Kluyveromyces lactis: one gene and its partners. Each later gene encodes a partner of the first gene's protein in a complex. Links are inferred from orthologs where the notes say so. Each region holds a gene or a part of one and is shown in the gene's direction. Other genes may lie near its edges.

Evidence for each region.
Region 2: PTA1 (region 1) and YSH1 share a complex: the UniProt entries of both Saccharomyces cerevisiae proteins name them as parts of the cleavage and polyadenylation factor (CPF) complex. The link is inferred for Kluyveromyces lactis from reciprocal best matches to the Saccharomyces cerevisiae genes PTA1 and YSH1.
Region 3: PTA1 (region 1) and CFT2 share a complex: the UniProt entries of both Saccharomyces cerevisiae proteins name them as parts of the cleavage and polyadenylation factor (CPF) complex. The link is inferred for Kluyveromyces lactis from reciprocal best matches to the Saccharomyces cerevisiae genes PTA1 and CFT2.
Region 4: PTA1 (region 1) and PTI1 share a complex: the UniProt entries of both Saccharomyces cerevisiae proteins name them as parts of the APT complex. The link is inferred for Kluyveromyces lactis from reciprocal best matches to the Saccharomyces cerevisiae genes PTA1 and PTI1.
Region 5: PTA1 (region 1) and YTH1 share a complex: the UniProt entries of both Saccharomyces cerevisiae proteins name them as parts of the cleavage and polyadenylation factor (CPF) complex. The link is inferred for Kluyveromyces lactis from reciprocal best matches to the Saccharomyces cerevisiae genes PTA1 and YTH1.
Region 6: PTA1 (region 1) and PAP1 share a complex: the UniProt entries of both Saccharomyces cerevisiae proteins name them as parts of the cleavage and polyadenylation factor (CPF) complex. The link is inferred for Kluyveromyces lactis from reciprocal best matches to the Saccharomyces cerevisiae genes PTA1 and PAP1.
Region 7: PTA1 (region 1) and FIP1 share a complex: the UniProt entries of both Saccharomyces cerevisiae proteins name them as parts of the cleavage and polyadenylation factor (CPF) complex. The link is inferred for Kluyveromyces lactis from reciprocal best matches to the Saccharomyces cerevisiae genes PTA1 and FIP1.

The regions. Positions count from the first base shown.
Region 1 is NC_006037.1:330,595-335,360, reverse strand, and holds PTA1 (RNA-processing protein PTA1), read left to right. Parts: upstream 1-1,847; coding exon 1,848-4,322; downstream 4,323-4,766. Other genes in the region: SNX3 (Snx3p), read right to left, coding at 39-533; HAP5 (Hap5p), read left to right, coding at 826-1,296. UniProt on the Saccharomyces cerevisiae protein: Essential in pre-tRNA processing. Component of the cleavage and polyadenylation factor (CPF) complex, which plays a key role in polyadenylation-dependent pre-mRNA 3'-end formation and cooperates with cleavage factors including the CFIA complex and NAB4/CFIB.
Region 2 is NC_006039.1:418,767-423,361, reverse strand, and holds YSH1 (cleavage polyadenylation factor subunit YSH1), read left to right. Parts: upstream 1-1,476; coding exon 1,477-3,771; downstream 3,772-4,595. Other genes in the region: KLLA0_C04620g (uncharacterized protein), read left to right, coding at 1-657; DBP9 (ATP-dependent DNA/RNA helicase), read left to right, coding at 4,361-4,595. UniProt on the Saccharomyces cerevisiae protein: Component of the cleavage and polyadenylation factor (CPF) complex, which plays a key role in polyadenylation-dependent pre-mRNA 3'-end formation and cooperates with cleavage factors including the CFIA complex and NAB4/CFIB. Has endonuclease activity.
Region 3 is NC_006041.1:1,062,351-1,067,111, reverse strand, and holds CFT2 (cleavage polyadenylation factor subunit CFT2), read left to right. Parts: upstream 1-1,577; coding exon 1,578-4,016; downstream 4,017-4,761. Other genes in the region: KLLA0_E12035g (uncharacterized protein), read right to left, coding at 1-941. UniProt on the Saccharomyces cerevisiae protein: RNA-binding component of the cleavage and polyadenylation factor (CPF) complex, which plays a key role in polyadenylation-dependent pre-mRNA 3'-end formation and cooperates with cleavage factors including the CFIA complex and NAB4/CFIB.
Region 4 is NC_006042.1:1,903,813-1,907,622, forward strand, and holds PTI1 (cleavage polyadenylation factor subunit PTI1), read left to right. Parts: upstream 1-1,664; coding exon 1,665-2,909; downstream 2,910-3,810. Other genes in the region: KLLA0_F20504g (sphinganine kinase LCB4), read right to left, coding at 1-617. UniProt on the Saccharomyces cerevisiae protein: Component of the cleavage and polyadenylation factor (CPF) complex, which plays a key role in polyadenylation-dependent pre-mRNA 3'-end formation and cooperates with cleavage factors including the CFIA complex and NAB4/CFIB.
Region 5 is NC_006042.1:760,258-763,243, forward strand, and holds YTH1 (cleavage polyadenylation factor RNA-binding subunit YTH1), read left to right. Parts: upstream 1-1,707; coding exon 1,708-2,340; downstream 2,341-2,986. Other genes in the region: protein phosphatase 2A regulatory subunit RTS1, read left to right, coding at 1-383; FUN14 (Fun14p), read left to right, coding at 985-1,491. UniProt on the Saccharomyces cerevisiae protein: RNA-binding component of the cleavage and polyadenylation factor (CPF) complex, which plays a key role in polyadenylation-dependent pre-mRNA 3'-end formation and cooperates with cleavage factors including the CFIA complex and NAB4/CFIB.
Region 6 is NC_006038.1:1,161,368-1,165,718, reverse strand, and holds PAP1 (polynucleotide adenylyltransferase PAP1), read left to right. Parts: upstream 1-1,780; coding exon 1,781-3,577; downstream 3,578-4,351. UniProt on the Saccharomyces cerevisiae protein: Polymerase component of the cleavage and polyadenylation factor (CPF) complex, which plays a key role in polyadenylation-dependent pre-mRNA 3'-end formation and cooperates with cleavage factors including the CFIA complex and NAB4/CFIB.
Region 7 is NC_006041.1:533,762-537,252, forward strand, and holds FIP1 (cleavage polyadenylation factor subunit FIP1), read left to right. Parts: upstream 1-1,993; coding exon 1,994-2,881; downstream 2,882-3,491. Other genes in the region: transcription factor IME1, read left to right, coding at 461-1,096; BUD4 (Bud4p), read right to left, coding at 3,095-3,491. UniProt on the Saccharomyces cerevisiae protein: Polymerase-regulating component of the cleavage and polyadenylation factor (CPF) complex, which plays a key role in polyadenylation-dependent pre-mRNA 3'-end formation and cooperates with cleavage factors including the CFIA complex and NAB4/CFIB.

The DNA.
Region 1 (4,766 bases):
CGAAAGTTATATTAGGATGGCAAATCTGCTTAATATTACTACCCCTGGAAGGTAGGATCCTGAATGAAACGGACGAGGACTTTTGATCCAGTTTGTAATAGAGGGTGCCCAGCGACAGATGCCAGCCATTTGTTCAAGCCTTGGCGTCTTTCCTCTATAACTGCATCACTGAACCTGTTTGAAAGGAGAATCTTTCCTGGCAAATGTTGTACTGAGACTTTCGGATGGTTGCTCAGTTGTAATTCTTTGATCAGCAACTTTCTGAATAGTTCAAAATCACTGTACCGCCTTCGAACGGAACTCGATCTTTTAGAAAAGCCAGGAAGATTCGTCCTGCATATAATTTCATAATCTGTATACATTCCCTTAGCATCGCCACTAGGGAAATGAGTCTTTGGGTTGCAAACCTCTATCTCTAGAAAGTTTTCTGGCTCATCATAAATTGTTGCACCGGATAATTGCTTGTGAGTTGTATGTGAAAGTGTAGACTCTGCAGTTGTAGTAAATGATTGGAACTGTCTTTGGGGGCACATATTACCGAATCCATATAATCGTGGACCTTGCCCGATTAGGTTTTTCAAGGTATTATTCACTCTTTACCCACCTTCGTTACTTTGCAGGAATTGGTTGAGGTACCCTTCATAAATGGTCTTTTTTATAATGAAAAGCCATAGATATTATTTTCACAATCATATCCTTAAAACGATTTCAGGAAACCGCATAATATGCTAAGAGTGGATCTGTATTGAAATCGTACCCTGTTCTTAGCAGCACAGATCCACATGAAATCTAACTGATATTGTCGATGACACTTACCTCGAAACCATGGATCAACCGGCAGCTAATAATCAAGAGAACGTAACAAACGAACAAGGACCTCTCATGGATCTCGAAGAAGATGAAGAGATCGACGTATTCCATAATGTCGGCCAGGGACTTGCTGGCAGATACAGAGAAATTATGATACAGTATTGGCAGGAACTTATTAATGAGATAGAATCCACGAATGAGCCAGGTTCACAATTCCAAGACGACTTCAAATCGCATTCGTTACCACTAGCAAGGATTAAGAAAGTGATGAAAACTGACGAAGAAGTTAGAATGATTAGTGGAGAGGCTCCAATTCTATTTGCAAAAGCCTGCGAAATCTTCATCACAGAACTCACAATGAGAGCATGGTGTGTTGCAGAGGAAAATAAGCGACGTACGTTGCAGAAGCAAGACATTGCGGATGCATTACAAAAGTCCGATATGTTCGATTTCCTGATTGACATAGTACCCAGAAACGTTCAATGATCAAACCGCCAAATCATTAGCGTATAAAGTGAAATGAGAGAAATCAACACAATGCCCCACTTACATATTTCAACCGATTAGGCAGTTGACCTCTGAAAAATGCGACATCGGTGAGCTATGACATTATTTAGTTGTTTCTAGCAATATAGCATTATTAACTCACAAATTGTGAATTTCATGATCAGTAATATACAGTTCAATCGAAGTAAATGTTACAAATGTCATGTCAATTACTGTCTGAAATCCATAAATATTCTCGGGCAGGTTTGTACCATCTGTAGCTTTTTCTCTTTCACAGTCTCTCTTCTCTATAAGCACGAACATGAAATTGAAAAAAAAATTAAACACTAAGTTCAGATTTCGTTTTGACTATAAGAAACCACAAGTGACTGAAGAGCGCAGAAACAGCAAGAGCAAGTCAGACATAGCATCAAGCGTGGTTGATACTATAAACCGTGTGTTAAACTTTAAACAAAGCACCTCAACAGTCAGTACTTTTTTGTTTTGTTCCAGTGAGTTTTCAATCATCTGTTTGCTGAGTATAGAAAACTATGTCAACTTCTGTAGACCCTTTAGTCCAGTTGCAACAGGCAGCTGCGATGGCAATGCAGCATATGCCGGAACAAATGCTTCCTAAGGTTTTGGAGACCGGTATCACATTGTTTTTAAATGATAAGCGGAATTTAGGGTTCTCGAGATTTTCTACCCAGTTATTATTGGATATATTGGTTCATGATAAGATTCCATCAAGTGAAAAACCATTCATTGTATGTCAAAACATCACTGCGCTTTGGGAAATGGCTGAAACAAGAGATTATGTCACTTACAAAAACTGTATACTATGTCTTGGTAATATTTATGACCGATTATTTGATTTAGTAGCAAAGACTTCTGATGATAAACTTTGGTCGGTAATGTTAAAGTTTAAAGAACTTATCATTGCCAACTGGAAGACCTGCTATCCTTTGGATTTGTCTGACAATGATCTAAATAACCATTCAAGAGGAACGGGGGTAAAATTAGCAAGTGTGAAGCTCATTTCGAAAATCATTATTGTGCACACCTCAGGACCCGGAATTAGCGTGGGAAGTATACCAGAAAATCATCCTGTGATATCTAATAAGCAAGCGTTGGAGGCTGAAGCCAAATATTTGTTAGATAAATTGTTAACTTTTTTAATTGAGGAACCAATGATGTGTGCACCATGGTTCACAGGTGCTCTTCATAGTCTTTCTTTTATTATGAAGCAGAGACCATTGGCCACAATTCGAATCGCATCCGCTTTACTGAAATTCAACATTGACATGAAATTCCAAAGAGATGATGAACCCACTTTACAATACAGACTTGCAAAGCGATTTGTGGAACGTTGTTACAGAAATTTAGTTCAGTTCGGAATTAAAAGTCAACTACTCAAAAACAGTGGATCCATGACACAGTATAGAAACAAACTAGCTAAAATTTCACAGACTCTATTCGTTATTGGCGAAGAGACCAAAGCTAAAGGTATTCTAAATTATGATCCGGCTGCGATTGAACATAAAATGACTCCAGCTGATAAAAAAAAATACACTAGAGTGAAGGAAGTTAACGACTCTTCTTCAGATTCTTCATCAGGAACATTTTCAGCGACAACGAAATCTCCGTCTCCTATTCAAATGCCACCGATTGTTTCGCCAATGATAGGAAATACAATGATGAATACGGCATCTACTCCACCGTTACTGAATAATTTTCAACCTCAGATACATGCCCCCGTAAAGAACATACCTGCTCCTCCACCCCCACCGCCTGATCTTTCTGTATTGCAATCCCTTCAGAGTTATGCTTTCACTAAATCCACGACAAAGCATCCACATTTTTTGAATCCTGCTCATACCTCTGTCGATAACTCATATTCTGCCGTTTTTGCCTTAATGAACCCCGTCACCTCCGGATTCGATGTCTCGAAGTTGTCTCAAGATACCATGGTTAAAATATGTACTGAGGCTTTAAGTAACACAAACACAGGTACTGCCATTAATGGACTATCCATAGTTGCGTCCAGGTACACCGATTTGATAAACAAGTGGTTACAAAACAATGCTCAACAACAGAGCGCAACTATCTCCAACGATAGTAGTCCAGTCCCATTCAACAACAGTAGCCAAAGTCAAGCTAGTAAACGTCCCAGAGAAGAGAATTCTGCAGCTTTGCCAATAAAGCAAGAAGTTGCAATGAAAAACGAAGAACCTTTACAGCAGCCTGCGGACGATAGGTACGTAATTGATGATTCAGCTCCTATACAGCCACCAGAAAGCAAAAGGGCAAAGATCGAAAGAGTGGAAGATGCAGAACCATCAAGCAGTCATACAGTATCCTTGGGTGTTCCAACTTTAACTTATGATGAGAAGTTGACTCACTTGCAAAGAATTGTGCAGAATATATTACTGATACCAACTAAAACTGATGTGAGCACTCCAATGACACAATTACAAAGTACAAATCCATTGGACAAAGTTCTACTAATGAATTGGGACAATAAGACCTCCTGGGTATTCTTATTATCTAGACTCTGCTCTAGAGGAGTGTCATCGAATCAAGATGTGAGAGATATTGTCACCAACGCAATTTTTGACTACTTCTGTGAGGATTTCCAGAACAGAATCACGCTTGTACTTGAATGGCTAAGTGAAGAGTGGTACCATGAGGAATTGATTTCCGATGGTAAAGATCATACCATATATAATGAATGGTCAGTAAAGGTGCTAGATTTCATGATCCCCAAACTTGATGACTCCCACAGAAGATTGTTTATTCGAATGGTCAGTGAAATGCCGTTACTTACTCAAGAACACATCGAAAAGATGAAATCACTATGTTTAGATCCTACTAGATCGGTATTGGGGTTCCAGTCTTTGAAATTCATGTTGATGTTCAGACCTCCAGTGAAACCGTTCATCAAAGTTGCCCTCGAATCTATGGCTGAAGTAGACGAAAGTATCAAACCACAATGCGATTCACTATTGAACAAGTATTTTTCCTGAGTAAAGCTATTCTGAATCAATGTAAACCCTGATTTCTAAATTTATATATCTATATACTAGCCGTCGAAGATATTGCAATTTGGTTGCGTTCCAAAAGCAATATGTAAGGAGAAACTTACTACTTTCCTATCAAACCGTCAACGAATAAAAGAGAATCATAGCTCGCTAATGCCCAATAGGTTTGGCTGAAATTCCACCATGTATCAGTCACTTAATGAGAAATTTGAAGTTTTCAAAAATATAACCTTTTAGCCACATTATCGTTAAAACATATAGTTAACGCACGCACAGCACGATCTCATCTCGTTCTCGTTTCCCTTCGAAACAAAGGACACACACAGAGCTTCTTTGAGAAAAAGAAATGAACTAATGCCGTCTCGCTGAAATTTGAAAAAAAAAATAATTTCAACATCGCTTCTTCTTGAATATGTTTTCAGGAATCTA
Region 2 (4,595 bases), on another chromosome or scaffold:
GCAACTACTCTGCCCCCTCAACAAAATCAAAATTCATTAAATCCCATCACTCAGAATCATCCTTCACTGTTTAGTGGTGGTGCTGATAATAAAGCATCCGTAACTTCATCTGACATGTCTTCCCCAACCGGCTGGCAACACGGAAATGCAGACATTTTCCAAAAAAAGCAACCAGCCAACTTTGTAAAGTCTCCTAACACACCGTTGCACCCAATATCATTCTCCGTCGGTCCTTCACCCAGGCCGAACGATAATGGTATAATCTTCAATAATGGTACCCATACGATGATCAACAACATCTCCACATGGACCAACGACTCGGTTTTGGATTTGATGAACAGTAATCATTACGTAGATCCACTGAATGGAGGCAACAATATGGGCAACCTAAACGGATCTTTACAATCATCAGCGACAACAAATGATCAAAAGACTTTTGTCATGCCCAATCGAGACAACAATCCTGGCACTCTGAATAACTCCCTGAATTGGAGAAACTCTTCATTTACCAACATGAATATGAACTTCAATCAACCAGATAATCAGCAAGGTCAAAGACCACCGCAACAGCAACAACAACAGCAATTGGAAGCTATGTTGTCAGTTCCCGTTGAAGAATTTTGGACCGTTAACGACGATTATGGATTCCTCACTTGAAGCCTTCAATTCAAACGTTGAACACCTCTACAGAGGATATTCCCCGTAATTAAAGAAAAAAATACAACCATTTTTCATACTAAGTGTTAATGTCTTATGTTTCCGTCATTCCACAACATTTCGTTTTCATTCTACTCTTTCCTTTTAATTCAAAGAGTATTCACTCGTTTTTAGTTGTAATATATATCTAGCAAAAAAATTTGTGTTTACATACATTCTGCAGTTTAATTCGTTTCATTCCATTTTACCAACACACTTGCAGTAATTTAGCCAGATGTGACCTGATCCAAGTAAATAAATCTAGTCACGTGACCTATCCTGTTCCCTTTACCCTTTGTTTCATTCTGATATATTGTCGATCAGAAATTCTACATATTATTATTTCAACATCTACATAGTAAGGGAAAACAATCAGTTTAAGATAGGTGTTAGAACCCGACAAGCAGCAAGATTCTCACTAGAAACAGTACGTAACGACATTTGTTATCAAGATGTGTTCTCAAATCATCTTAGGTTGCCTTCAGCCCTCTCTTTACTAACTTTTCGTTATCAATATCTACCTCTACTCCCTCTGTACACCAATATGCTATTTCCTAGTTTCTCACTTTTTTCTCACTTTTTTCTGTAAGACATTAAAACCAGTTAACGTTTATTGAAAATCTTAGCAATTCAACATAAAGAAGAGTGTCCTGTCCAATGGTTACCGAGCAACCTCTGTTGGTATTCGGGCACTCATAACAGATATCGGGGGGCTCAAGCAGACAGTAACTTTTGACGTGTTTGTGAGAGCATTTTGTCTGTCCTTTGCATTGTCAAGAAATGACTCAATTGGAAAATGAGGTTCCAGACAAGGACCATCTTCGCTTTTTCTCACTAGGAGGATCCAATGAAGTGGGGAGATCGTGTCATATACTTCAGTATAAGGGCAAGACTCTAATGTTAGATGCAGGTATCCATCCGGCCCATCAAGGTTTAGCTTCATTGCCCTATTACGATGAATTCGATCTCTCCACAATCGATCTTCTTTTAATCTCACATTTTCATCTTGACCACGCGGCATCATTGCCTTATGTGATGCAACGAACGAATTTTCGTGGTAGAGTATTCATGACACATCCGACCAAAGCTATATATCGTTGGCTTTTGAATGATTTCGTCAAGGTGACCAGCATAGGAGACAGTCCAGGACAGGATTCAAGTAATGATAATTTATACTCTGATGAGGACTTGGCTGAGTCCTTTGATAGGATAGAAACTATTGACTATCATTCCACTATGGAGGTAAATGGTATTAAATTTACAGCGTTCCATGCAGGTCATGTTCTTGGAGCAGCGATGTTTCAAATTGAAATCGCTGGTGTTCGTGTATTATTTACTGGTGATTATTCAAGAGAAGTGGACCGTCACCTTAACTCTGCTGAGGTACCACCTCAGTCTTCGGACGTCATAATTGTGGAAAGTACATTTGGTACCGCTACTCACGAACCAAGACAAAACAGGGAAAGAAAGTTGACCCAGTTAATACATACCGTGGTATCTAAGGGAGGACGTGTTCTTTTACCGGTGTTTGCCCTTGGAAGAGCTCAAGAAATCATGCTTATATTAGACGAATATTGGCAGAATCACAAAGAAGAACTCGGAAACGGGCAAGTACCTATCTTTTACGCATCAAATCTTGCTAAGAAATGTATGAGTGTCTTTCAGACATATGTTAATATGATGAATGACGATATTCGTAAAAAATTCAAAGATTCTCAAACAAATCCATTCATCTTCAAGAATATTTCTTACCTCAAGAATTTGGATGAATTCGAGGATTTTGGTCCCAGTGTCATGTTAGCATCCCCAGGTATGTTGCAAAACGGTCTATCTAGAGACATTTTAGAAAAATGGTGTCCAGAAGAAAAAAATCTGGTTCTTGTCACTGGTTATTCTGTAGAAGGTACAATGGCAAAATATTTGTTACTAGAACCTGAGGCTATTCCCTCGGTACACAACCCTGAGATAACTATCCCAAGACGTTGCCAAGTGGATGAAATAACATTCGCTGCTCATGTTGACTTTAGGGAAAATTTAGAATTTATCGAGCTAATTGGAGCTAGCAACATCATTTTAGTTCATGGCGAATCCAACCCAATGGGTCGTTTAAAATCAGCCCTTCTTTCTAATTTCAGCTCTCTCAAGGATACTGAAAACGAGGTTCATGTTTTCAATCCTAGAAATTGTGTCTTTGTTGATATTGAGTTCAAGGATGTTAAGGTTGCCAGGGCAGTTGGGAAAATTATTGAAGATCTCGATGAGTTTATAACTGAAGAAGACGCACTAAAGAATGAGAAAAGAATCACGGAAATCCATGAAGAGGATCCAGAAACAGAGGAAAGTAAAACGGAAATTGTCAAAGAAGAAAATGAGAAAATAGTTTCAGGTATATTGGTGTCAGATGAGAAGAATTTTGATCTAAGTTTAGTTTCGCTTTCAGATTTAAGAGAACATTATCAACAATTATCTACTACAGTTTTGACAGAAAGACAGACAGTCCACTTGGACTGTAAAAGCGAACTAGTATATTGGCATATCTGCCAAATGTTTGGTGACGTAGATGTATACATTGACGAAGAAAACGTCTCATTGAAGAACATCAATCCCGAATTCAAGACGAGGAAGATAAAGAAGGGTGAACTAGAAATAAAAATCATGGGAGATGTAATATTAAATATAGTTGACAATGTAGCTACATTGCAATGGACTCAGAATGTTATCAGTGATTCAGTCGCGGATAGTGTCATGGCAATTCTACTGAGTGTCGAGAGCGCTCCAGCAAGTATCAAAATGAGTTCGAAGTCATGTGGACATCATCATGGACACGATGATCACACGACTAAAATTAAGAACATATCGAGAGTTTTCAAGGAACAGTTTGGTGATACTTTTACATTATTTTTGAATGAGGAAGACTCCAAAGAAGAAATAAAAGGCACTATCAACTTAGGAAAAACAACAGCATGTATAAACTTCTCAAAAATGGTTGTGGAAGAATGTAACTCTAATCCATTGAAAGGTAGAATAGAGAGTTTATTAAAAATTGGCTCCGACTTGGTGGCCCCATTGTGTTAATCTGTCTCATATATAGATATGATTATATATGAGCTAGTCATTAATCATCTTTTTGCATTAACTATATACTTTTCAACCCTATACTGCCATCTTGCCAAGGTGTTCCTCTGTACTAAATAATCTATTAAAACTTTAAAGATGCATTCAAGTTTCAATTAACTGAATGAACATATCGTTTTCGACAAGTTACAAAAGACACCAAGAGGACAAAAAACCATTTACTAAACTACTAAACGCGATATATATATATATATTCTCATTATAACAGTAAATTTTAAATCAATCTACCAATACCATGGCAAAATCAGAGCTACAGTGAGGTATTTCATTCACATTGCCAATCCAGAAGAGACAAGATAACTCAATCACGTGACTCATAAATCCTTTTGCCTGTGTAGTTTCTTTTTGCACCTCAAGAAAATTTTTGGGAAGCTCATCTCATCTCATCCAGAGTCTGAACGTACAAGAGCTGTAAAACAGGCTAAATGGGTCTCAACTATCAGCAGCATTAACCTTTTGATCGAAACTTACAACCGAGGTTATAGTTAAAGTGTTCGACGAGAGCTAGAGTCCAGAAAAACGCTTCAATATGGCTCAAACAAGCGCTTCCCAGGGATACATTGATGATTCTTCTTCTTTCGATTCGTTCCACTTGGATTCACGTTTATCACAAGCCATCCGCAGTATCGGCTTCAAACACCCTACTTTGATCCAATCCAGTGCGATACCATTAGCTCTTCAAGAGAAAAGGGATATCATAGCGAAAGCTAGTACCGGCTCTGGTAAAACTTTAGCATATTTGATACCAGTGATTCAAACAATTT
Region 3 (4,761 bases), on another chromosome or scaffold:
TTGACGTTACCCCAGACACTGTTACTAAATTCGACACATAGGGATCGAATGTTGCGGCATTTGATGTTCTTGAAATTGGCTTCTGAACACATTGGGGATGCCCTGATTGTCAAAGATTCTCTCACGAAGGATCCATCAACAAGATCCCTTTCAGTGTTACTATTGTAACTGACGAGAGTTAAATGGTCGCATGGTGGTAATACAACTCTCTTTCCTGGTGGCACTTGGAATTTTTCAATCGTTTTAAGCAGGGGACAGTATTGTAGATCATCGACTATTGTAGTGTTATCCTCACATTGCAATTGATTCACTGTCATAATCCTAGGTGCAATCACTTTCTTACCCCTTCTTATGTTCAAAGTGAACAGCGTTTCCACGTCATGTAAATAAGTAGTCTCAAATATCGTGTCGATATCAAACATGTCAACTTCCTGGTGATTAATATCTCGGTTGGCGAATATATGTAATTCACATAATCGTAGTTGGCTTTGACAATGGCTTAGCTCTCTGAAATAGAACTTGGAAAGGAAATTGGTAGTCGTCTTATACATGAAGCATAGATTCTTTAGAGTACCCATCCCACTTAGCCCTCTACTTAATTCACATAATGCCGTCGCCAATGGGTCACTGTAGCAGCGATCGGATACGATGACAATGAGAACGTTGTCAAACTTCCGTAGAAATTCGCTCAACACAGGAAACTTGAACGTATCTGTATTTACGCAAGCGGTGTTTCTCTCATCAGATAACAACTCATAATTGCAAGGATCTGCTAAGGTTTTTGATGATTCCCTATCCAAATCCCAAATCTTCAATACACCAAGCTTGCGCTTTATAATTGTTCTAAAATGTGAACCAACCTTACTCCATGCTAACAGACTCTCTAGACTGTCTAGTCCGCTAGTTACTACACGATCAATAATTTCGATCGGAAGACTCATTACTTTTGTACCCTTAAATCTTCTTCTCCTCCTTCTTATCATTAGCAAATCTGTCAAAAGTGTCAACTAATGCAGCTTATCTTGCACGTTGTAAACTAGGTCCTTATAATTCAACTGATTTCAAGTACGCTGGTATATCCAAGATGCCTTTAGACTTCTTCCAGTGTTTGGGTCAGTTGAGCAATCTGTTCCGTAATCTGTCGCTTTATTCTTTAATATGCTGACTCAACCTCAAAGAACGTTCGGAATACATTTTGACACTTAAAGTACCGATAAAATTGTGGATTTTGTTGCCTATAATTGTAAGCAATGAAATATGTTTGATATTCCACCTACTGGACCGTACCAACCTACAGATTGCAGCAGTATCTCGTCCAATAACAACTTCCCTGTCTCAGTTTGGCCTCTTAATCCTTCTTACTGACATTATATCTCATTACCCGGACATAACATGTCAAAATGATACTCAAGGCATCAACATTAAGTTCATTTAAACAGTACATGCAAATAATTGAAGAATGAAGGATAAAGGAAGAAGAAGAAGAGATTGCCGGCACTGAGGACACCTTTTCCTTTCCCATTCCAACCAGTGGATTCTCATTGTTTTTCAAATATAGAAGTAACTGTGCTCTCAAGATGACATACACCATCGAAACATGTAGGGATGAGAAGAAGCGGTTTGAGGGAACCATTGTACGATTCAACAATGTAATAGTATTATTGGACCCAGGATGGAACGGTGAAGGCAGTTATGAAGAATGTGAAGAGTTTTGGACGCAGTACATATCTGAAGTTGACATTGTTCTGATTTCCCAGCCCACAATTGAATGCCTTGGGTCCTATGCCATGATGTTTAAACAGTTTTTGCCTCATTTTAGGTCGAGAATTCAAGTTTATGGGACGTTACCTGTATCAAATCTAGGCAGAGTCAACAGTGTTGACCTTTTAACTTCAGTTGGGATATTAGGACCGTTTTCTAATGCCGTCATGGACCTAGAAGATATTGAAAGCTCCTTTGACTTGATTGAAACGGTGAAATACTCTCAAACGGTGGATTTAAAGAATAAATTCGATGGGCTCTCATTAGAAGCACATAACTCAGGGTATGCTCCCGGTGGTACCATTTGGACGATAATCACTTCATCAGAAAAAATATTGTATGCGCCTCGTTGGAACCATACAAGAGATACTATCTTGAATAGTGCGGACCTATTAGACAATACTGGAAATCCAACCAGTTCCATGATGCATCCGACTTCTGTAATAACCAACCTTTCTATTATAGGCTCAGCTGAACCTCAGAGGAAAAGAGTAGAACATTTCACTGATACCATGAAAAGAGCTATACAAATGAATAACTCTTTACTGGTACCAGTTGAAGTAGGAGGGAAACTATTGGAAGTACTAGTCCTAGTTAACAATTTCTTATATGAAAATATGAGGGGTGGATTGAAGTATGATATTCCGGTGTTTCTAATATCTTATTCAAGGGGCCGTTCTCTCACATATGCTAAATCTATGTTAGAATGGTTGTCCTCGCAAGTAATCAAGACCTGGGAATCTCGAGACAATCGGTCTCCATTCGATGTTGTATCTAGATTGAGGATTATTACTCCTGAGGAATTGGGAGGTTACACTGGGCAAAAGATCTGTCTTGTTTCCGAAGTTGATGATATTTTGTCACAAACGATAAACAAACTTTGCTCTAAAGATAAAGTAACGATCATATTGACAGAGAGACATCCAAATACCCCAGCACAACATCCCTTACGAAAACTTAATGATAAATGGCAACAAGCAATAAAGAATGGGAGTAGAAGTGCATTGGATGGCAACCCCATTAGCATATCTGATTCGATGTCACTTCGAATCATGAAGAGAACAATTTTAAACAAGAAGGATGCGGAGAAGGTGAGAGAAATGATTAAAACTAGAAATGAGGTAAGAGAGAAAATTATCGAAGAATATACGGCTAAGACCAATGACAAAGCTCAAACAAAAACAATACTTTTTGATGTTGATGATGAGAGTAGCGACGAAGAAGGTGTGGATTCAATGGATGCAAGAGGCAAGAATGGATCGGGAAACGTTAAAGTGGAGATTCCCGTAGATATTACTTCCAATGATAGTGTTTCCACAAATGAAAAGCACCTTATGTTCCCATTCCATCCAGCAAAGCTTAAATCTGACGATTACGGTGATGTGGTCAACTTAAAGAGATTCTTACCACAGGAAGAATCATATGACCAAGCACAATCTTTAAAGCAATCTTATAGTAATAACGATTATGATGAAGACGATGACGATGATACATATGAGGTACTTGATTCGCGGATTAATAAATCAAAGAAAAGAAAAACAGATCATAATCCTAGGAAACAAGAAAATAATGATGATATTTCTTACTTGGACCCATTGAAAAGTGACATTTATAAACGAGCAATTGTGGAAACAAAAGTTAACATTCGTTGTTCTTTGGTATATATCGACTTGACAAGCATAGTTAATGCGCGGTCGATAGCAATCATCTGGCCTGCAATCAAACCAAGAAAAGTCATTGTGCTGCCATCAGCTGCTCCTGTTGATAACCAAGTCGTGGTTAATCTAACAAAGAGAAATATTGACATATTGGTGACTGAGTTCAATAATTCGGTTGAGATGGATACATCTGTCAAGGCAATTGATATTTCTATCGATCCATCGCTCGACCAACTTCTAAACTGGCAAAGAATCAGTAAATCTTTCACTGTGGCACACGTTGTTGGTAAACTATTGACAGAAACTGACCCAAAAGCCCCACATCGGGAGAAGGTTATATTGAAACCGTTAAGCAACCCGTTAGCTTTACATTCTGGAAGTTCTCTAAGAATCGGAGATGTTAGACTACCGGAATTGAAAAGAAGACTAACTGCGGAAAATCATAAAGCTGAGTTCCAAGGTGAAGGTACACTAGTGATTGATGGCAAAGTTTTGGTTCGGAAGATTAATGATGCCGAAACCATAGTTGATGGTTCACCATCGGACGTATTTTACAAGGTCAAATCGGCAGTGTCAGACATGCTAGCCAACGTTTAAATTGTTCGCGGAAGCTTTCTATAAACGTGACATCGACTTAGATATTAATTAATTATAGTAATTTAGCATTGTAGTAAAGCATTTATAGATCAGTTGTAGAGCTGACCAATGGGGTATGTATGTCGGGATTCAAACATCTATTCTAGGTCTGGCATTCTTTATCTGGGGGGGTTAGAGGGCAAAAAATATACTCCGCGACGGGGAATTGAACCCCGATCTCGCACGCGACAAGCGCGAATTCTAACCATTAAACTATCGCGGATCTGTACTTGAGAAATAGAAAAACTTTGCACTACAGGTTCGCTCAACGGTTGCAGAACACTGATTTCGTTGGAACTAGTCATAATGCATGACCGGGTGATACCAATATAATAGGCGGTTAATGATAGTTTTGTGTCACTGACACATAGCAAAGTATATAAACCAGTACTCAGATCTAATCTACTAATTAGTAGGGATCAGATCTACAGACACCAGGTGCATCTAATTCTACTAGGAGATAGATAGCTAATCAAGATGAATTCTTCTAATAAAGATCTGACAAGATCTAAGCCACGTGACATGTACAGTCATATACCACAACAGGTAGCCCGAATATGAAACTCAGAAAATCCCGATATTCCACAAATACGACTCCGTGGCCAAGCTGGTTAAGGCGTGCGACTGTTAATCGCAAGATCGAGAGTTCAATCCTCTCCGGGGTCGTTTAATTTTTTTCCCCTTTTGCTATCTGTTGTTTTTTTTT
Region 4 (3,810 bases), on another chromosome or scaffold:
GCTAATAATATTGGTTTGGCTTTGGACAAGAACAATTTATTGGCTTTACCCTTACCACCGTGTGGGTTGATAATGACTAGAATTGATTTGTTTCTCTTAGTGTTTTTATAACTTCTATTCAAGATCTCTTCTGCCACATCAGTTCCCATATTAGGAAACACTGAAGTATCGACGCTCAATTTTATTGTTTTTGGGACTAAATGGTTCCTCCTTGGCTTTGCAAAAGTGACTTCAATCAATGCAGTATGATCCGGCCATGGGGAACCATCATCTTCTGCTTCCATATTCGTGACATCAAGAATCTTTGCGTAAGGAATAACCGTATTTGAAGGTAGCAGCAGAGCTTCATTCTCATCTTTAGATTCCGTGTCGCTGAGACAAGTAACACAACTGATTAACGAAGCTGTTTCAAAAACACTAGATTGGAAGCTCCCAGAAGCATCGCCGTCTTCGTCATCCTCGTCATCGCCGAAATCACCTCCATTACTTCTGCGTGCCAAAAGCGTCGATGAGCTTGTTGAAGGACCGGACGTAAATTGATCTTTAATCAATAAACCATTTTCGCCAATGATGGCTCTTGTATAGGGCAAATGATACTTCCTGCTCAGCTTACTCATTATTCTTGCAGCCCTCTGTTTCCTTTTTCTCAGATGAAGGGAAATATCTGAATCAGACTCTGATCTCTGTTTGGACCACAACAGTTTTGGCAACTCAACAAGAATAATTAACTACCTCTTTTCCACCTTTACGTGAAAATAACGCAAAACAAAATCAAAAAAAAAGAGACTGATTCAAAATTGAGATACAGTCAAACAAGATCAATGACTATGTCTTCTGTTATTCTCTGATGAATCCTCTTATCAATACCTAGCTAATAAATCACAGGGGGTATGTTTTCGGGATGACGGATATATTACTGTTCCTTTCAGTTCAGTTCGATTTAATTTGATATATCTAACTTGAAAACGGAGAACACCAAATCGTTGTCATAAATATGATAAATGGAAACGTTTCTTGGAAATGATAATAAAGTATAGTACTATCCACCAGTTAAACTAGAATTCTCACAGACAAATTCTCTAAACAAATTTCCTAGGTTCACGATGCTTATATAAGAACCGATGCGCAATGCTTTTTTTATCAGACTGTCTTCTTGTCTAGATAACAAACCACGAGAGTAGATCCTTAGAACAATTTTCTTAAATAGTAGAGGCTTGATTAACAATACTCTGGCTGATATTGGATGTGGACAGAACAGTTTCTTATTCATCAATCATATCTTTACGTTTTAACTTCGAAGGCTTCCTGATTTTCGATTTCATGTAAATCTAAGAAATACAAAACAAAAGAAACATCAGTTGGCACGTGATATATAATCAATTATTACCCGGATATTGTTCTTATATGAATGTTAACTTAAAAAGATTCTAAGCATCGTTAAAGACTAACGGCCATACTAATGAATTAAGAAATCTGCTGTCGACTAGAAAGAATGAATATGTAATTATGTATGTTCGTAACGATTCATTGTGAGGCAAAATAATACTAGTTACTAGACACCAGTCAGATATTTGCGATAACAAGTTTGCAATTTAGAGAATACATATATATATCGAAACGGTGAAATACTCTTAAGTTGGTTTCTAACTAAACACAGTCAAAGTATGCATGACCCACAGAAGGATCCTCGTACTAGGAAAAGCAGGCATGAACTGACCCCGCACAATCTTTCATCTACCATACGTTTTACTGACATACCTGCTCAGTGGAACAAGGATAACTTCACATCTGTGATAACTGGTTCTGGATATATAGTTGACGTTAGAGAGAAATACGTGGATGAGGTCGAAGAAGCAGGAGAACGAGAAGGGGGAAAAGGAACTGGAGCTGGAGCTGGAGCTGGAAGTGAAAGAGGATGTCTTGAATGGGTAGATGTAGATTTCAGGGACTCTTCCTCCGCCAATAGGGCCCAAAATTCAATAAATAAGATAAACCATTTCCCATGTAGGATGTCCATGGTGATTCCCAAAGATTGGAAAGAAAAGTTAGAGAAAATAGACCAACTGAAACCGTTAGAGTTCACAAGAGACAATTTTCCCTGGGATTACAAATTAGAACTACCGTTTGAAATGGTAAGTGAGGTACCTTTACCAAGAAAGCCGTTGCCGGTGGTGCAACCAATAACAAGTGACGCAGGAAGCACACTATCCTCGGAGAATAACACTGCATCTACGAATGCTGCCTCGGATAACCTTGCCTCGAAGGCGAACGAGGCACCGGCACAGCAGATAGAGATCCCAGAGATCTTAGCACGGGCATCAAAGCATCTACCAGCATACCAACCGGGCTCGATGACTGCACCGGATGTGGTATCTCAAAATCTATCGAAGATTCCTACGTTACAAATGATCGAGATTCTATCAAACTTGAAGATCTTAGCCAACCAGCATAACAAGAAGCCACAACTGGAACAATTCTTGAAGACTAACATTGACTTAACGGTAGCTGTCACTCAGGCAATGCTAGAAATGGGGTTGATAAACTATCACGTGATATCAAATGTTCTAGGCCAAATGCAGGGCCAACATTCTGTTGGACCCACGCCTGCCGCAGCCGCGCCTACAGTACCAACTCTGCCGCCAGTTCAACTACCTGAGCCGTCTGTACCCCAGACGGCTCAAGGCATTAACAGCGGTGGTAACGGTACTGGTGGTGATATTACCACCACCGCTACAACCAACGCTGCCAACACCCCACAGCAGTTCAACGAGGCAAAACTTTCGCTACTGCCGCAAGATCAACAGAACATGATCAGAACTGCGCTTTCGATGCCCATAACGAACATAATGGCTCTTCCACCAGGCCAGCAACAACTAATACAGCAACTCAAAAACGACTACCTTCTATAGATAATAATAATAGCAATAACAAGAAAAATACATAGCACAATTCCTATCTCTTAGTCATCCATAATGGCTCGAAGGCTTTCTTTCTATCTATAGTGTATACCACCGTGTTTCCCAACCTAAAAGTTCCGCGCGCAAGTTTTCCTCTTTAACGACTTGGCTCATACAGGAAACTGAAAATGGAAAAAGCTGAAATAACCGACATTTCAAAACAGGAAGATGTCAAATGCATGCGGCGAAATGAAGGGAAACGAACGTCGAGGGAAATGTCTAAGGAAAGCGCAAAGGGAAAGAAATGCCGAAACGATTGGGCTACTATTCGAATGTTTTGGCGGTAGCTGCCGCCCTCCACAGCAACACGGAGCACTTTGTGTCAGGATCCTTTGGAGAGATTAGATAGATATTTGTTTATGTGCGTGTGTAAAAAGAAAAACTTGTCAAGTCCTCTCTTGCAGTAATCCGTTTCTGTTTTCAGTATGTTATATCAGGTATCATCAGTGCCGATCTGAGCTGATAAGGAAGGAAGGAGGAAAGGAGGGAAGGAGGAAGAGAGGGCAGAAGAGGTTTCCGTCGCAGTTTCACCGACCTATTCGTTAAAATACCTATTCGCTGCTCTTAATTTTTTGAATGGCGCGCGGATAATTACTACAGCGTAAAACACTGTGCTTATTGAGCTTAGAGATCAATGAAAAAAAAGTGCTTATGAAATTAAAGCAAGGCGATTCTTAAAGGGAGCGCGGGACTATACAGATGAGGTGCACATGAATCATGGGAAAAAAAATCGTATATAAATCCATGGGTAGATTGTTCTCTCTGAACTAGAGGAACCAGTTTCTATAATTTACATGTTGTTTGTAATTGTGTTTTTAGTTTACACCCAGTCCACAAGCACAGAGTAATCATT
Region 5 (2,986 bases), on another chromosome or scaffold:
GCTATTGGAACAACGAATACTTCTTAAACCTCTGTATTGAAAATGCGGAAGTGATACTTCCTATAATTTTCCCGCCCCTATACAAACTAACCTCACAACTGGACAAGAATGATCCGTTGAGTTTAGAGGATGGTGATAATGGTGAAGATCCGTACTTAATGGTCGAGCAAGCCATAAATTCCGGCTCATGGAATCGTGCCATTCATGCAATGGCTTTCAAAGCATTGAAAATTTTCCTTGAAACGAACAATGTCTTATACGAAAATTGCAACGCACTTTACATATCTAGTTTGAAAGAAAACAACAGACGTCAAAAAGAGAGGGAAATGAACTGGAAACAATTAGAGGATTACGTTTCGAAGTTGAAGATCGCAGAAAGTTGAAAAAAAGTGACCACTATCATCCTTACGGACTCACCATCACCAAATCATTATTATCGTCTTCATTATCATCATCATCACGGTAAAAGTTATGTATATACTTATATCTACGCGTCTTTTTCACCGAACATAGAATTGTTTCCGTATATATCAGTAAACGACAAATGATTTCCAACCCAAATAGGAGGCCTTAATTTACATATAAAATAGTAATAAAGGTACTACTTGACTGATAACTTGCCGCTTATCACTTTCTAACTGACAATTCTATATATTCTTTTTTATAATGACTGTCACCCAAATCCTATTCTTTTCAGCATGTTGGGTTTTGTATGATTCTTAAATTTCAACATCGGTTGAAAAAAAAGGGTCGCAGGCTCCATCGTCAGTATGGCTATATAAAGAAATATTGAGAAGTACGTGCAAATTGCTATTGAGTTAAGAAAACGACAATTCGTAGACAAAATCACTGTTTATAATTTAATCTTTCGATAACGAAGAAATTCGGTTAGAAATCAGTCTCATTTAGTTCAACTCAGAATTGTGTTTTATATCCTCGAGTGAAGACAGACCAATCGACATAATAGGTAAAGAATTAGGAAAGATGTTCAGAACAGCAGCAAGAAACCTTGGCGTGCCATTAAGAAGAAGTGTTTATGTTGGATTCAGCGGTAGTTTATTAGTCGGTGGTGGATCGTTGTTGCACTCGATGCAACCAAGCTCATATATCATGAACGATTCAATTGTTGATGTTAAGCAAAGAACGAATCTACCACAAGAGCTTGGATTGCCAAGCCGTGTTGATATAAGTTCGAAGCAAAGAAGAGTCAACTACAGACAAATGTGCTACGGGTCAATTTTAGGTCTAGTGTTCGGTGTTATCTTTGGTAAGATATCAAGTCTTCTCGTGTTCATCACCGGGGTTGGATTCGTTGGGTTACAATTCTTGCAGAACAGGGGAGTTATCAGCAGTGACAGCACTCGTTCTCTTTCCAAATACGTTGTGACCATCGGCCGTGAGAGGATTGATTTGAACACATTGATCTGGGACAAACCCAGCTTCAAAGTCTCATTCATCTTGACATTTGTGCTAGCTGCACTTAACGTCTGATTGGTTCCGAGAACGCTACCTTATTCAGTTCACGTGACTTTTTCTCATGTGAAAACCCAGAATATCCTATAACGTTATATTTAAGAATTAGTAAAATAATTATTGTGTGTAACTCGCTTGTAACATGATTAATTACCAATCATCAAAGACATTTTCATAAACGACTGGTAGGCTACATTAGACTGGGTTGTCAAGGAGATAAGGGAGTTTAAACTAATGAGTATAGTTCATCCAGATACCTCGAAGTACGAGTTTAATTTCGAGCCATTTCTACGGAAAGAATATTCGTTCTCGTTAGATCCAGATAGACCGGTATGCCAATACTATAATTCAAGAGAGGGGATAAAATCCTGTCCCAACGGAGCACGCTGTCCAAACAAGCATGTGCTACCGATATTTCAGAACAAGATTGTTTGTAAGCACTGGCTCCGAGGTCTCTGCAAGAAGAACGATCAATGTGAATATTTACACGAGTATAACCTAAGAAAGATGCCCGAGTGTGTATTCTTCACCAAGAACGGGTACTGTACACAATCACCGGAGTGTCAATACTTGCACGTAGATCACAAGAGTCAGTTAGAAGAATGTGAGGATTATAATATGGGGTTCTGTCCATCGGGACCTGCATGCACGAAGAAACATGTCAAAAAGGTACTTTGCCCCAGATACTTGGTAGGGTTTTGTCCACTGGGTAAAGATTGCGACTGGTCGCATCCCAAATTCAAAGTACCTTCAGAACACAGCAAACTGCGCATCAAGAAAGACGAGCATATTAATACAAGAAAGATGGATGAGGAAAGGGAAAGACGCTTGAATGCCATTATCAACGGTGACATCCTAGTCACGTGACTGAATTTTTTCAGTTTTCATCAGTGCGTTCGTTCTCAGCCACTGCTGCTGTCACTATTCACTATTCAGCTCACCATACGTAATTCGATACAGATACAGATACTAAGTAACATAATACTACACAATGTTACAGCCGGATAATTCTATCAACCGACAGCAAAAGCAACACACCTGAAAAATTAAGGGAACCAAGGCTCACATACCTTAAATTGCTTATCCAATAGGTATCAGACCTCTCAGCCAAAATCATTCGCTGAGTTTCATTTATGGACACGCGGTCGACATATTCCCCAGTATAGAACACTCCATTCCACAGTTTCTTTCGGTTTCTTTTTTTTCTTGCAATACTGATAAGCATTAACCCTGAGAGCGGACGCATGAATGTACACCAGGCAACAGCGTGAGTTCTTGAAGTCAGTTTTCTAATACACCTATAACTGGCACTAGCCAGCTACTGGGATGGCAGTCTCGCATCACAGCAAGGCTGTCGACCGGTACCTCTTCGTCACTTCGTCTCTCCTCTGCTGCTGTCTATGAACCAGCGAGGTTTTGCTCAAAATGGAAAATGAAATTTTCGACGAAAACAAACAGAAATAAAAAAAAGGGAAAAGGGTAAAAAGGAAAATTAATGGAAGCAAGGTTTTTC
Region 6 (4,351 bases), on another chromosome or scaffold:
ATTGGGCTTGATCTCAATTACAATTACAAATTGAGAATTCAAAATATATCTCTGACCTAACCGATTAACTTTGGATGTAGTAAAGGTATATATAAAAATAAATCTCTCTAGATATTTGGAATATCTCTCTCGAGTTGACTAGAATTGATTTTGATTTGATGTTTTTCTTGTTTTTCCCCTTTTTCGCCACCAAAAGTTAGAAAAAACCAAGTATTACCCGGAAATGGTTAGATCTGCCAATCTAACTGGATCCAGATCGTATCCAATAGATAGCACAGTCAGTGAGCCTATTTAGCCAGTAGCCTCTTATTCAAATTAACGGGGAGAAGAGTTTCCAAACGAACTACAAGGGCCCATATAAAGGCCGACTTTCACTGTCAATGGGATAGTTTTCTTGTTTTTTTCGGATGCCGTTACAGATCTACACACGAAATACAAAGGTTTTGTAATCATCAAATATCTTGATTCTTCCATATCTGGATTTTCGTTTATATATATGCATATACTTCCAATTGAATTATTGTTGGATAAGATTTACAGGAAATTGAACATACAATTTGCAAATTCAAGCTCGCTCATTCTTATGATTGGGGTCTTTCACGTAATTATTGATTTTTCCTGGGTCTTGAAATCGATTTTGAATTTTTCTGGCTTTAAAAATTTAGTACAAAATGAAATAATATAACAAAGTGTGAACTTTTGAACTTACTATACCTTTTATTTGGTTTGAGTGTGTGAACAGGAGAAGCTAAAGTTAAAACCAACACTACATATCCCTTTGGTCCAAACTTGCCAGTACCTTCAAATTGAACTTCTTAATTCTTTCATTCGCTGGACACTCCTGAGACAGAATTGGTAAAGGAAAGAAATAAAGGGAAACGGAATTCTCAGACAATACAATATTAACTGGCTGATTTTTTTGTCTACACACATATACACACAGTCTCTCTCTATCTGAATATAACTGGATAGTTTGTGCTAGTTACGTTTTTAGTTCAAATTAGTGACGAGCACATCTTTTGATATTGGTCACCTGTTACCAACAACAACAACAACAAAAGAAGTTAGTGTCAGACTCACAAATACTGAAAAAAGCCTTTGCATTGGAACTTTGGTGTATTAACTCTCGGAGATTATACACATCCGACACTTATTTGATTATCCTCATCACGAATTAACTTGTGAGGAGTACTTTTGACGGTTCTTTCTGATCTAGGAAGACGTAGCAAGTCAAAACTCATTCAGGTTGTCGACTTCAGTACAAGACGCACAGGTTTTCAAGGACACTTACGATAATTCAAGGACGGTGATTGGCGACCAGTTGAATTCAATAAGCTCGGATCTTGCAGGGCTCAAGGTTTCCGGTTGTGATATCACTTCTGAGGTAGTACTAGGTGCAGTAGGGCTAATAGAAGAAGAAGAGGAAGGGGGAAAAAGTTCAGAATCTGATAGTGTAGGATCATCTCCCTCCAGACAAAGAAACCGGCATTTAAATCTCAATACAAGCCGAAACACATATCAGCATCATTTGCAACATCACCACCATTATAATCAAAGACAGCAGCATCAGCAACAATATTTCAATCAGCCAGGGCTACATTACGTTTATTATTCACCGGCTAACTCACCAACATCGTCTCCAATCTCAAAGAAGTTTCAGAACTACATTCCAAGAAGACAATCCGCGGACAGCCTTTTAAATACCGGGGGAAGTGATTATCTGGATAGAGCAAGGAATAGAAATATACCAGATTACAGAAACAAATATTATCCCAATACAATGTCCCAGAAAAAGATCTTTGGTGTAACGGGCCCGATTTCCACGGAGGGTCCCACTGCTGCCGAAAACGCATTAAACGATTCATTAATTCAACAGCTTAAGAAAGAAGGCTCTTTCGAAACGGAGGAAGAAACTGGGAAGAGAGTGGCAGTATTAGAAATCTTCCAAAAATTGACACAAGAGTTTGTATATCAGGTTTCAAAGAAGAAAAACATGTCCGATGGTATGGCTCGTGATGCTGGTGGTAAAGTATTTACCTTTGGTTCTTATAGATTAGGGGTCCATGGTCCAGGTTCCGATATTGATACGTTGATTGTGGTACCTAAACATGTATCCAGAGAAGATTTCTTTACCGTATTCGATGCTCTGTTGAGGGAAAGACCAGAACTTGAAGAAATTGCGTCAGTTCCAGATGCTTTCGTCCCAATTATCAAGATCAAATTCAATGGAATCTCCATCGATTTAATCTTTGCTAAACTAGATTTACCCCAGGTTCCAATAAGTTTAACTTTAAGTGATAAGAATTTGTTAAGGAACGTTGATGAAAAGGATCTAAGAGCGTTGAACGGTACCAGAGTCACCGATGAAATTTTAGAATTAGTGCCTAATAAAACATCTTTCAAGATTGCATTAAGAGCTATTAAGATATGGGCAAAGAGAAGAGCAGTATATGCAAACGTCTTTGGGTTCCCCGGTGGTGTCGCATGGGCGATGTTTGTGGTAAGAATCTGCCAATTGTACCCTAATGCATGCAGTGCGGTAATAATATCAAAATTCTTTCAGATTTTATCACGTTGGAAATGGCCACAACCTGTCCTATTGAAGCCAATCGAAGATGGTCCTTTACAGGTCCGCGTGTGGAACCCCAAAATATATGCACAGGATAGATCCCACAAGATGCCTGTGATTACACCAGCGTACCCTTCAATGTGTGCTACCCACAACATCAGTGAGTCAACTAAGAAAGTGATCTTATCTGAATTACAAAGAGGTGTAGAGGTCACACAAAAGATTTTCTCTAATGAACTATCATGGGAAGATTTGTTCAAGAAACACGATTTCTTCTTCAAGTATAAATTCTACCTAACGGTTATGGTCTCAACAAAGGGTTCCGACGAACAACACTTGAAATGGAGTGGATTCGTTGAAAGTAAGCTCAGATTGTTGGTCCAAAAACTAGAAGTTTTACCAGGAATCAATCTGGCGCATCCATTTATTGAACCATACGAGTCCAGCTATATATACAATAATGAGGATGAATATAAAGAGATCATGAACAACTACGGTACACATAAGACAGAAGGTGTATTGAAAAAGTTTACAAAAATAACTGATGCAAACAAAGACGATGAAGCCTCCAAAAACTCTAATCAAGTTCACATAGCCACGATGTTTATTGGACTTGACATCAACACAGAAGAGAGTAAAAAAATTGATATACACATTCCATGTCAAGAATTTTTCAATTTGTGTCGCTCATTACCCGACTATGAGGACCCTGAAACGTATTCTTTAATCATCAAGTATGTGAAAGTGCATGACTTACCGGATGAAGTCTACCAAGAGGGGGAAACACGTCCTGTGAAATCCAGCAAGAAGAGGAAACCGGAGAAAAGTGGTGAAAAGAGTAAAAGACCTAAATCCGATCCGTCCAATGGCAAGTCTACTACTACTACCAGTGGCAACACCAATTCTTCTTCCCCAGTAAATGACGCTAATTCCACTCCATCATCAAATGTCCCAGCAAACAGTAATACCAATGCTATCACCGAAGACCCAATGACTGCGACAACATAGAAAGTCTTACGATCCGTTCATACTACCTCTTCAGGGTTCGCATAATGCATCATGGCCAAGGCAACGTGAGTCTCCCCTCAAGCCTTAGCCCCAGTCATTAACAAAAGTTTCTCTACATTGAACGCGACACATAAACTCAACTTTCCCACTAGATAAACTAAGTAAAAAAAAAAAAACGTCTCATATCACAGAAAAGAACAGATCATTACTATAATAGTGAAGCTGTCCGCCACATACCCCATTGTTTTGCATAAACCTACCATCTCTAATCTGAATATTTTTGTTCTATCATCAAATATGTTTAACTGGTACTTATTTTTAGTCAGCTATGTGCCTTATCTTGATACATAATTGACAGATGCGGACAAAAAGAGTCAAAGGAAAACCACAAGAGATAGAAGGTTAGCCAGTTAGACACTGATAAAATCCGAGAAAACAAGACGTTACCGATACCCGAACAGTATCATCTGGTTCAGCCGCTGTTGATTCAACAGGCAAGTTCCTATTTCAAGTTTAACTTACAAATACACCCATAGTGATGAAAGAAAGCCACACTTTTCAGTAAAAGAAAGAAGCAACGTGACAGAAAGAGATCGAGTAATGGGAGTGAAGGAAAAGAAACAAGAAGTTGAAATTTGAAGGTAACTTAGGTAACAAGTGTCTTGTGAAGGGTTTTTATCTGTCAAAGAGGTTCAAGAAGCCATTTAAGGGCCATTTTCGAAAGGCTACTTTCTTTCATTTCGCCCAGCACTTGGATTTTGCTTTCTTTTGACG
Region 7 (3,491 bases), on another chromosome or scaffold:
ATCAAATTAAATCAAATCAGATCAGAAAAAAAAATTATTTTTTTTACAGTTAATACCGCCCTTGTTTCATGCTACGGTTCTATCTGGTAAATTCTTGCATTATAATTAACTAGTTAATTAGTTTTATTAGTTTATCCCAGTCTCAATATTGTTTTTACTCCTGTTTCCACCTTGTTTCTGGATCTAGATGTAACTGGGCATGATACGATATGACATGATTTAGGGTTAATTTGGGAATTATTTTAGGATAAATCTAGTTTTATCTAACTTTAGTATATGCAGTTTGAAGTGGAATGCTATCTACCAAGCTTATATATAGGTCTATCGTTTTTGAGGCTTTTGACATATTCTTGTCTGTCTTTCTTTTTCTATCGGTTGCCTCATTACCGTGCATAAAAAAAAACTGATAGTGAAATACTAACTGGTTACCATAGAAGCTTAATATACTTTACCCAATACAATGCACTGCGAGCTGGATATTTCTAGCTATTTGAAACTGGACGACCTGCAAGAATGTGGAGTTAACATGGAATGGCATGGTGAATTGGCACTTTCTGATCTCGAAGATGATGTAAGCCTTGATTTTCATGAGAAGCATGTTATCAGTCGACACGATTTACAGCCAAGGTCCATCCATATGCCGTCGATGATCCATACTCAGCCTGTCCATTTGATTCACGTTCACAATTTGAAATTTTTACAGACGAGTTTTGAAGAAGAAGATGAACAGAGAATTATTTGTTCTTCTTCTACACCACCTTCACTGGCTGACACAAGACACAGTTCTGTTTTCTCTTCTACAAGAAGTATCAACGTGTTACTGGAAGAAGACGAGCAAGATTTGGACAATGACTTGCAGTGCATGGCTCCAGTGAAGAAAAAACAGCAACGTGCATTGGTGGCACCCATCATGTTCTCCTCTTCATCTTCAAAGAAAGATTCGGTCGTTTCGGAAAAGGATCAGTTTGTTTACACGCTAACTAACAAGTTACTACCTTATTTTGGGTATTTCTTGGCTGATTCTAACGATTTGGATTATTTCGATAAGATTAGATTCCAAGAAATTGATTACAAGTTCTCCAAGACGTATTTTTGATGGAACAATCCTCATCCTTTTATCCAGATATTATTTTTCCCCCTTTGCTATAGACTGCCTGTATGATACACCTGCATATTTTTTTCCTTCTTCATCATATTTCTTACATTCATTCCTTTCTAATTCTCTACTTCATTTCAAATTACCTTCCATTTTTTTTTTTACTTTGTTTCTGTGGGTGCGGACACAAGGTGACCATGTTTAGTCAACCTTACAGGTCCCATAAACACTTCAAAAAAGAACATTCACTTCTCAATTGCAGTTTACAATCGACTTTTTTGAACATTCATTCTCAACAATGTCTGACTCTTTTCAACACATTAAAGACACTCACTCGCCTGTAATGTTTGTTTCCTCTGTTGTTTTCTGTCAATTTTTTTAATTAATTCACACTTTTACTCTGAAAAAACAGGACAAAGTATTATGCTTCGTCAATAAGATGCACTTTTTTCTTTGGTTTCCCTTGTTACTTTTCCATATCTTTAATTCTTACCATCGCATATTCTTTCAAGTTCGTTAACATCGGAAATCGATACTGTCCGCAACATGCACATCTAATTCTTCTGTAAATCATGTATTCTCATTAGCTACACATTTAACCCATATTATACATTCCGTCCAAACAAGCTGAGTCGCTGTCCGCTGTCCGGTGACAGATATTCATTAGAAATGTTTGTCATTGAATACGACAATAATTTACCCGGATATGCGTCGATTTAACAGCATCATTTTGGTAAATCTTAGCATTGAGAGTTAACTATTAGTTGATTTCTATATGAGAAGAAGAACTATCTTCCTGTTAAGATACCTTTTGGGTTGCGCAGCCTTCCAAACTTTCCAAGCATTTATTGATAAATCTTCTACCAGTCCACGAACGACATATAGAAACGAATCGTTATGAGCAGTGAGGATGAAGACGATAAGTTTCTATACAGCGATGAGGAGGATTCTAACGTAGTCGCAAAGCAAGAGGGTCCTGCATTGAAAAGACAAAAGGTCGAAGAAACACCCAAGATACTAGCTCATGATGTACCGGAAGGTAATACGAATGAGGTAGAGAGTGAGGCCTCCAATCAGGATAGTTCATCAGATGAGGATGACAGCAGTGACTCAGATTCAGATGTTGAGATTATCATCGGAACTGGTAACGATACCTCTAAGATAGATTCTGGTAAGTCCCAGATATCTGCTATAACAGACACAACGCCTCTTGGTACAGCGGATCATGCTATTGCAGCAGTGGCTGGTATATCGGACGTGGTTCCTGTACAGGAGGGTTCAATACCACCTGAACAGCAGCAGCAGCAACAACAAACTATTGATTTGAACCCGGATGCACAATTCGATGGGAAACCTATAGTACAGATCGATCCAGAAATTCTAAAGGAGAAGCCCTGGAGACAACCAGGAGCGAATATTTCAGATTATTTCAATTATGGATTTAATGAACAGACTTGGATGGAATATTTACATAGACAAGAACATTTGACGAAAGAATACAACCCACAAAAGATTTTGATGAACCTCCTAGCTTTACAGCAGCAAGGAAAGTTAAATGATCCAGGTTCAGGACAACCTGTACAGAATACAATCCAACCTCCTCCTCCGCCTATGGGACTTCCCCCCATGTTTGGTGGTTTCCCAGGATTTCCATTTCCGGGTATGATGAATAACATGCAAAATCAAAATGTATCAAGCATGAACAACATGAACAACATGAACAACATGAACAACATGAACAACATTAACAACAACAACAATAATAATCTCAACGACAAGAAATGAAATTTAGTGCTTGAGGCTCGTATTGATTGCAAGCAACATTAATGATATATAGCGGACATGTACATGTATTTTCGATTCCTTGATGGAATTGTAACACAGCTTAGTTTTAAAGACCTCATGTTGACATTTGTTATAATTAGAGAAATGACATTAATATACTATACTTCAAAAAAAATGGCAAAGACAAACTATATATCTGAATACTATAACAGTTTAAAAAGTAATGTTGTATTGTTCGTTTTCAAAAACTCTTTTGATCCATGGTTGATGGAATTTATTCAGTTCAACAACGCTGGTCAAAATTTCAACCCATTGTTGTTTTAAAAGATTAGAATCAGCGTTAAAATTTATAACTTCATCATTTGCAAAAAGGAGTTTGAAGCAATCGCTGAAAAGTACCATATCAGTAAAGTTTCTCATTTGTTTTCCAGTTGCCGTTTTACCATCAGAGTATATATCTACTACGTTTAGAAGATTCAACAAAGTTTGTGGTTTTCTGGTAACTTCGTCATGAGCTATAAGTTCAGTGCCTTTCAAAATCATATATCTTCTTTTCAACATTCCCTCTACATCACCGCCTTCTTGCCACAGGAATCCTTCATTATTGACC